Danio rerio: one gene and its partner. The protein of the gene in region 1 interacts with the protein of each later gene in a pairwise test. Links are inferred from orthologs where the notes say so. Each region holds a gene or a part of one and is shown on either strand. Other genes may lie near its edges. The genes, in order: tufm and fundc1.

Region 1 (4,561 bases):
ACTAGGTGCCTAACATATAATATTACAATAAAAAAGTAGAGTTAAGAAAAATTTTAATTTACAATGTATACAATTGTGCATAAAATGTGGTCTAAAATTTTTCAAATATATACACATCACATTAAGGTATCTTACTTTGATTTCACTATCAGATGTCATTACAGATCATTTTATTGGCATATTAACTTATTTTTATTACCCAACTCACACATCCAATACATGAAAACGCAAAGAAACTGAAGCACGCGCTAACTTACTTCATGTACAAAATGTAAACACGAGTTAGACAAACAAGACTTACCTTTTTAAATGCTGTGTGTCCGATTTAGCAGTAGTAGCAGACGTTACTTGGACGTGTGTCAAGTTTCCCCGCAGTGTAAATAATGTTACACTTGAGTTCAGTTCAGCTCCGTTATTATAAACACACCACTGCGGATCCAGAAGCTTCCAGATTCTACCTGCTGCTAGACAGCGGCGCGCGTGCACATGCCGTCGATGTGATATGACGTCATGAATTTTACCGTAATGATTATATGCCATCCTCGCAAAGAAACTTGCACTCGGAGGAAACCCACACGAACATCGAGAGAACATGCAAACTCGACACAGAAATGCCAAGCCGAGGCTTGAACCACCGACCTTCTTGCTGTAAGGCGATCATGCTACCCATTTCGCCATTGCTTTGGAACTTTTGTTTTTGATGCCTGTTTTTCATGTAATTGTAATTTACCAATGCACAATGAAAACATTAATAAATGCCCTCCTTGCATAGTTCTTTCACAACCTCTTATTAAGGTTTATAGTGTATAAAATAAACATTTTATAAGGATTTAATATACACAGAACCCATATTTAAAAGTAATTTACAGTTTTTTTGAACATTTATTGTATAACACAAAGTTACATTTGGTACATATCATTTACAATACTTTAATAATTAGATCATTAGCTCTGTTACCTGAGAGCCGCTGCTCCTCCACATCGAGAGAAGTCAGCTGAGGTGGCTTGTGCATCTGTTTAGGATGCCTCCTTGAAGCCTTCCTGGAGGCGTTCCAGGCATGTCCCACCAGGAGGAGGCCTCAGGGAAGACCCAGGACACACTGGAAGGACTATATGGCTGGCCTGGGAACGCCTCGGGATCCCCCTGGAGGAGCAGGAGGAAGTGTCTGGGGAGAGGAAAGTCTGGGGTTCTCTCCTGAGACTGTTCCTGCGATCTGGCCCCGGAAAATCGGTTGAAAATAAATGAATGAATGAATTACTAGATTATTTATAATGGTGCCAATAAAGAATGAAAAAGAAGAAAAAATATGAGGAAAAAACACAACAGAAATAAAACAGAACACAAAAAATTTAATAGGCTATTTAATCTGAGGATAGTTATTTAATACATAAAGAAATTGAGCAAAATAAGAAGATAATGTTATATTTTCAGAAATTTAGAGATTTAATAGAGTATACATATTAAAGGTCATGAAAATAGTACCTGTATATGTTTTGAGTGCTTTCTTATTAGGTGTACCTAGTACACTCATCTCTTGTACAAATGTTGGCTTGTGATTTACATTTATGAATTTAAAATCTGTATAAAAATGACAAGGCTTCTTATAAAGCATACATAAAAAAATGTATATAACAAATAATTACATTTGGAGTAGTAACGTACAATTTAGATGATTTACTGTAAGATTAAAAAACGTGTCCAGTGCGTCCAGTGTTGATGGCGTATGTGTATTTCTCCGCGCATGCGCACTTGTCACAGTCCGCAAAATGGCTGCGCTCGTTAGCGTCCGCGCGTGCCTCTCCGGTAAGTTATAAAATTCGCTTATTTTACCTTTCTCGTGCCACTGACACTATGTTCATGCAGCGAATAATCTGCGAAATATGTGTAATATTTGTGCAAATGCCGATGAGAGTGTGGAAATGGCAGTTACTGTGAAAACATGAAGGATGCTCGTGTGTTTCCCCAAGCAAGGTCACGTTCCTCAGGCTGTGACTTATATATATCGTACAGATTGAGTGGCATTATTGACATTAAAGCGTAAGATCTATCACAATATTTATATGATAGTTAAATATTTGTATTGTGTGAAGATCATACTTACGGGAAACAGATGAGGAGTGATTCGGTCTCGTGATGTTTTTGACAGTTGTTCATAATATAGCGACTTTGACGCTTGTAATATTTTAAGTTGTCCTCTGTTTATTAATGTGATGATAACATATTTTTAAGCAGATTTAATAGTCTATGTATTCCATTGTTTGCATTAGCACAGTATATTTATATATTATACAGTATATTTCCTGACTCGTGTTTATGAATGAATGAATGAATGATGATTTCTGTATTACATTTAAGCTTTTTTTGTTTGTTTTCCAGCTCTTCAGTTGACCTCTCCAAGTTTACTTCACAGCTCGTTTAAGCTGGTATGAGTTTCAGTTTTTTAAGTTTTTTTTTTTTGTTTTTATTAGTATGTTATTAAATGCATTATTATCTGTCATGGATTAGCAATTATTATTTGTTAATATCGAAGGAAAAGAAGATAAGTTAGATATTGTAAACTCCGAAATAATTGTGCAAAATATTTGTGACAAATTAGCCATACTTTGTTTTTGTTTTTTAACAGCCAAGTCCACAATGGAAGTCCAGGGCTTTATACCTTTTTATCCTCCATGGTTTTATTTCAAAATGTATGGGATTCTTTTTCTTTTGTTTAAAATCTGTCAAATAAAATTCAACTTAAATGCTTTATATACTTAAACTTGACGTTTGTCCAAATTCAATCTTTATCGGTTGGGTTAAAGTGGGTCAAAGGAATCTTGTCAGGCAAATTATGCAACAAGAATCATTTGATAACACATTTAAAGACTGTTTATCACAATGCAGCCTTAAAATACTCATTAATTGTCATTTTAAATCTATTTATATTTTGCTACTATTTTTCCAAGCACTTGATTTTAACCTATTTGTTAGCAACAAGTGTTTTAATCATCTAATATTAAAATATACTATATAATATAATGTTTTGATTACTTACTCTTTTATATATGGTTAGTATTTTGTGTGAATATTTATAGAATACTGAATGGAAATTGGAAATTGTTTCACTCATATCTGAATTTTTTAAAAATCTAAATGTAAAAACAAAATAAAAAGTTTTCTTTATAGAAAGGATAAAAAAAAGTCTTTAAAAGCCTTGAATTTAGATTTGAGAAGATATTTAAAAAATATTTTGGCTAAAACTATTTCTTCAGCCTGACAGACCCAAAAACTATTTACAATTACTATTATTATTATTATTATTATTATTATTATTATTATTATTAGACAGAACAACATTTTTTTAGTTAAGCCATCTAGTCAAATTGCAAGTAAAAATTAAAATGTGTGTCTGACATAAACATCATGTTCCTACAAAAATCAATAACACAACTAACAGAAGCAAAACAATGCAAAGTGTTTTTTTTTTTTATCATTTATGAATCCGTGGACCTATTTTAAATCCTCATATGAGCATGATCATTAATAAATAAATAAATACAAATTTATTCTTGCATACATTCATATTTCATACTCAGGAAGGTTTCAATCCAAAGTTTAGTCCCTGGTCAGTATTTATTTTTTTAAATCCTTAGCGTTTAGCCCTGATATGCATGAGTATTTTCATTGCAAATCTGATGATCTTAAATGTCTTATAAGTCAGTCTTAGAAAGGCCTTTAAAAATGTTTTCAATTTAACTTGTTAAACTCTGTAGGCACCCTGTGACATTTCCACTGGAGATATTTGAAAAAATAGCCTCATGTTTATTTATTTATTTAATTTTTTTGACCCTAGTGTGCAGTTCCTCTAAGTCGAAGGAATTTCGCTGCAGAAGCGAAGAAGGTTTTTGCTCGTGATAAACCCCATTTGAACATCGGCACTATTGGACATGTTGACCACGGCAAAACCACACTGACCGCCGCCATCACCAAAGGTACACTTTCAGCTTTATTTCATATAAGGGATGCTCCAATTGATTGTTCAGAGATTGGTATCGGCCGATAATTACATTTTATGACTCGATCGGTACTCTCCGATCTCATGAATCGATCACAGTTGTTGTTTACGGGTTTACACGTAGAGGAAGTGACACCCATGCATTGTATAAACTACCCCGAAAACCATGGAGACGAGTGTGTATTAGCAAGAGAACAGATCACAAGAGGCTCTGTGTGTTTTTAACATTATTGCAAGTTCACTAAAACCTGATTGAAAAAAATACATATAATAAATATACACATTTTTTTTACTTGAGTATTTAATAATATACCTTTTTGTATTGTACTAATTGCAATAAACAAATATGTATTTATAGGTGTGCATTTTAACATCTTATGCATCAAATATGCGCGCCAAATTTTTTCTTCATTGAGACATGTTGAATTACTTTCCCCTCATTTGTGATGTTTCTAAATGGCTTTGTTAGTCATTTTTCCCACCGCTTTTTTTTATTTTTATTTTTTATCGGTTTTATCTATTATTGTCTGTAAAGCTGTTTCTGACCATGACATGACCACAGTAAA
Region 2 (3,742 bases), on another chromosome or scaffold:
TTGTCCTGTTTTTCATATCAAATTGAAACGATTCTGAAATGAGAAAAAAACCTTCAGGAACTGATTGGATCATTGGAGGATAGGCATCGCTAACAAAATGATGGAAGACTGATAAGTAGACAAAAGTAGGGTTATTGCTAGATCACATACGGTTGTGGCCGGAAGTAAACAAGAATTATTTATATTATGTATTAAATTTCCCATTTATTGTTTTTCATTAACATCTACCCCTACTGTCACAGTAACATGAAAACAGTAGTTGTACAGGGTATTTTATTAATGTCTACTATTAATTACTGTTATAAAGTTTTACAAAAATGATGCTATATTGATGTGCATACCCGCAGCTGTAACCCATCTACTTTGCCCAAAATAGAACAGAAATGAGACACGCCCTGATAGTCCCGCCCTAAAGGCAATCCATATGACCAAAAGTAAAGAAAAGTCATTTCGAGGGGGCAGAGAAGGTTATAGTGTTGGATAAAACATAATAAGGGCAAATTATTTTTTACAAAATAATGAAGTGCACATTAATAACAAGCACTATAAAAATATAAAACTAGAAAAGCTAATTCTGATTTAATGCCGACTTTAGAACTTAGGAACAAACAAACAAACCAAAAAGTACAAATAGTCTATACATAACCAGAAAGACTTTTTATTATTTCCACAACATTATTTTTATCTTTACGTCAAAACAATTCATGCATTTTGACAATATATTAGGGAAATGATACATCTACCTCAAATAATGTACCGTCAAAAGCAAAATACAATATGAAACACTTCAGTAGTTGTACATGTAACAAATGAATGCATTATCACTAATTAAAATAAAATGAACAAAATAAAAGCCACAATTTTCTATAAAGTTATTGGCACAATATATCTCTCTCCTGCAGGATGTTTTAGCTATTGTATAACATTGTAGAGGAACATATTAAAAAAGTCCAGCAAATGTCCATTGCACTCACTGCTTCTGAACAAACAACATGTTTCAGTGCTGTATCACTGTGATACCAAGATAAGGGACAATATTACTGTACTCATATCAGAGGCAATACAGTACATCCAGGTTTCATTTAGGATGCCAGGCCTAGCAGAAATCCTCCAACAAATCCTCCTGAGATAACAATATTCCTCTTCACAAACTCTGTAGACTGTAGAACAAAATGTAGGTTAAGCGAAGTGTCATAACAGCTAATAGATAGTATATGAAATTATGACAAGCATATGAAAGTATACCCACATCTTCTATAAAGGTATTGAGCTCAGGAGCAGCTTTTTTGGCATTTTTCTTCAAATGCTTTTTAGCTTTATTGACATCCTTTTCCACTTTCCTCCAGTCCACCTGCACATAGCCACTATGATTGGCAATCTGAAATAAGAAAATAGATGATTAACAAATTAAATGTCATTGAGCATAACATATACTAATTAAAAGCATAACTTAATTTTAAGAACTCATACTTGTAACAAAAGAAATCCTCCTCCAACAGCAGTAGCCACAAGCTTTCCAACTCTCTGAAAGAGATATCCAGCACACCTAGAGAAGGACATTTTTTTATTATTTATAACAATCAGGAATATTAAGGGTTTTATTAGAAATTAAAGCATTCACATGAACACTAACCATCCGGACACTCCACCCATCATGATTTGTGAAGCCACAGAGTATTTTTCTGCAATGGGACCTGTGCTGTTACCAAATACTCGACTCCACCATTGATGCCTCCTGGCATAATCTGTGATGTTGACCACTTCATACAATTCATCTTCACTCTCTGCATCTACAAGTGAAAACATTAACCACAGTCGTTACAAACGAATACTGTAATTCTATGTTTGTTCTCTGATGACAAACATGATCCAGCTTTGTAAACACTGAATATACGAATTTTCAACCATTAAGGTTCACGTCCTTTGACATTTCAAATTAATACGATGTGATTACACTAATTTGTTTGCATTAATAAGTGTCAATGAATTTACCAGCACGCGAATGGAAAGACGAATGAGAATGAAAACAGTATGGTTGAATTTAGCTGCGTTGTATCTGTATAGACTGAACGGCTGCTGGCAAAATAAACGAAACCTATGCTGCTCTTCTACGGTGTAAACACTCGGAATCTTGTTGCACGCGATAAATCCGGTGAAACAAACACGCTGCCAATCGAGACTATTCATTCAAATGTTTGGTTAGCCAATTTATTTACCTTCGCCGCGATCCGCCATTTTATGAGGCTGCGTTCACGACGCTCGCAACCGCGGAAGCTCTTACGTAAAATGCTGCGCAGTTTGCGTGCGATAATCACTCTTCGATTCCAAATTTGCGTATATGTGGTATTCACTAAATACTTCACAAAGTCCGTAGAGTGTAATGGTGCAATCTCAGTATATAAAATACTGTCTACCATCAGAACCAGAAAGCATTTTACATGTTTCTGTGTATACTCCACTACTAAGGGGAAGCTCAGGTCTGTAAGATTTTCAAAGCTCAAAGACGCCTAGCATATTTAAATAACAGAACTCTCTGTCTTTTTACTTTTGTGTTTTTTTTTGTCCATAATTTTAACACAGCGTTTTTACATTTACTGCTTTCAAACATTTTAAACACTATAACAGTTGTTTACATAATTAAAATATAAATAATAGCATTAAATAATAATTTTTATAATTTTCTAAATATTTCATATTCTAGCCTATACAACTTTCAGGGTGTTGAAAGAAAGAAAGAAAGAAAGAAAGAAAGAAAGAAAGAAAGAAAACAATGACAGCAAAAATGGATGATAGAAGATAGGATGGAGAGTATTTTTATTATTAATTAACAAAACGTTCTCTCTTTAACGTTACTCTTGTGCGTTTTGTGCAGAATTTAAGTGTACAGAGTTTTTACATTTACTGCTTTCAAACATTTAAAACACTAATAATAGTTGTATACATAATTAAAACATTGATAACAACAACCATCAAATAATAATTTTAATATTTTTACAGATATTTCATATTCTATACAACTTTTGGGATGTTGAAGAAAGAGTGAAAGAAGTTAAAAAAGACAGTATTTTTATTATGAGAAACATTACAGCAATACAGACAAGGATAAATACAGTACACCATCATATGCAGTACAGTACAATAAAGTATTATTGACCCTTTGATGCACAAGCTATAAAATAGATATAGAAAAATGTAAAAAAATAAACTTAGACGGGTCACTTTAGACCCATGTAGCGCATGAAAGGGTTAAATAAATAAATAATAAATTCACTGGGTAAATGTATGTTCTTAAAGAATTTGGATCCATGTGCTGTACTTTGAAAAATCAAAGAAAGAGGCAGGGTCAAAATAAACTTAACAGCCATGGAATATAAAAAAAAATGTTAATAATAATAATTATATATATATATATATATATATATATATATATATATATATATATATATATATATATTCTGACTAAGACGAAAAGAAAATGAATGAATATATTTTTAGTAGTTTCTTTAGATTATGAAGCCATAAATTCTATGATTTTATTTATTTTTTATTATTATTATTTTTTTTATTAAACAACAGCAAATATACAATTTAAACATGACATCCGAATAATTCATTTATTTATTTTTTTTGGCTTAGTCCCTTTATTAATCTGGGGTCGTCATAGCGGAATGAACTGCCAACTTATCCAGCATATGCTTTATGCAGCGGATGCCCTTCCAGCTGCAACCCATCATTGGGAAAT

The links.
Region 2: the proteins of tufm (region 1) and fundc1 interact in binary tests that used the Homo sapiens proteins (3 or more experiments, as listed by UniProt). The two-hybrid records come from large-scale screens. The link is inferred for Danio rerio from reciprocal best matches to the Homo sapiens genes TUFM and FUNDC1.

What each region holds. Positions count from the first base shown.
Region 1 is NC_133178.1:12,129,036-12,133,596, reverse strand, and holds the start of tufm (elongation factor Tu, mitochondrial), read left to right. Parts: upstream 1-1,746; 5' UTR 1,747-1,767; coding exon 1,768-1,804; intron 1,805-2,377; coding exon 2,378-2,424; intron 2,425-3,833; coding exon 3,834-3,972; intron 3,973-4,561. UniProt on the Homo sapiens protein: GTP hydrolase that promotes the GTP-dependent binding of aminoacyl-tRNA to the A-site of ribosomes during protein biosynthesis. Also plays a role in the regulation of autophagy and innate immunity.
Region 2 is NC_133184.1:35,473,494-35,477,235, forward strand, and holds fundc1 (FUN14 domain-containing protein 1), read right to left. Parts: upstream 2,276-3,742; 5' UTR 2,236-2,275; coding exon 2,217-2,235; intron 1,791-2,216; coding exon 1,634-1,790; intron 1,547-1,633; coding exon 1,471-1,546; intron 1,379-1,470; coding exon 1,250-1,378; intron 1,161-1,249; coding exon 1,083-1,160; 3' UTR 634-1,082; downstream 1-633. UniProt on the Homo sapiens protein: Integral mitochondrial outer-membrane protein that mediates the formation of mitochondria-associated endoplasmic reticulum membranes (MAMs).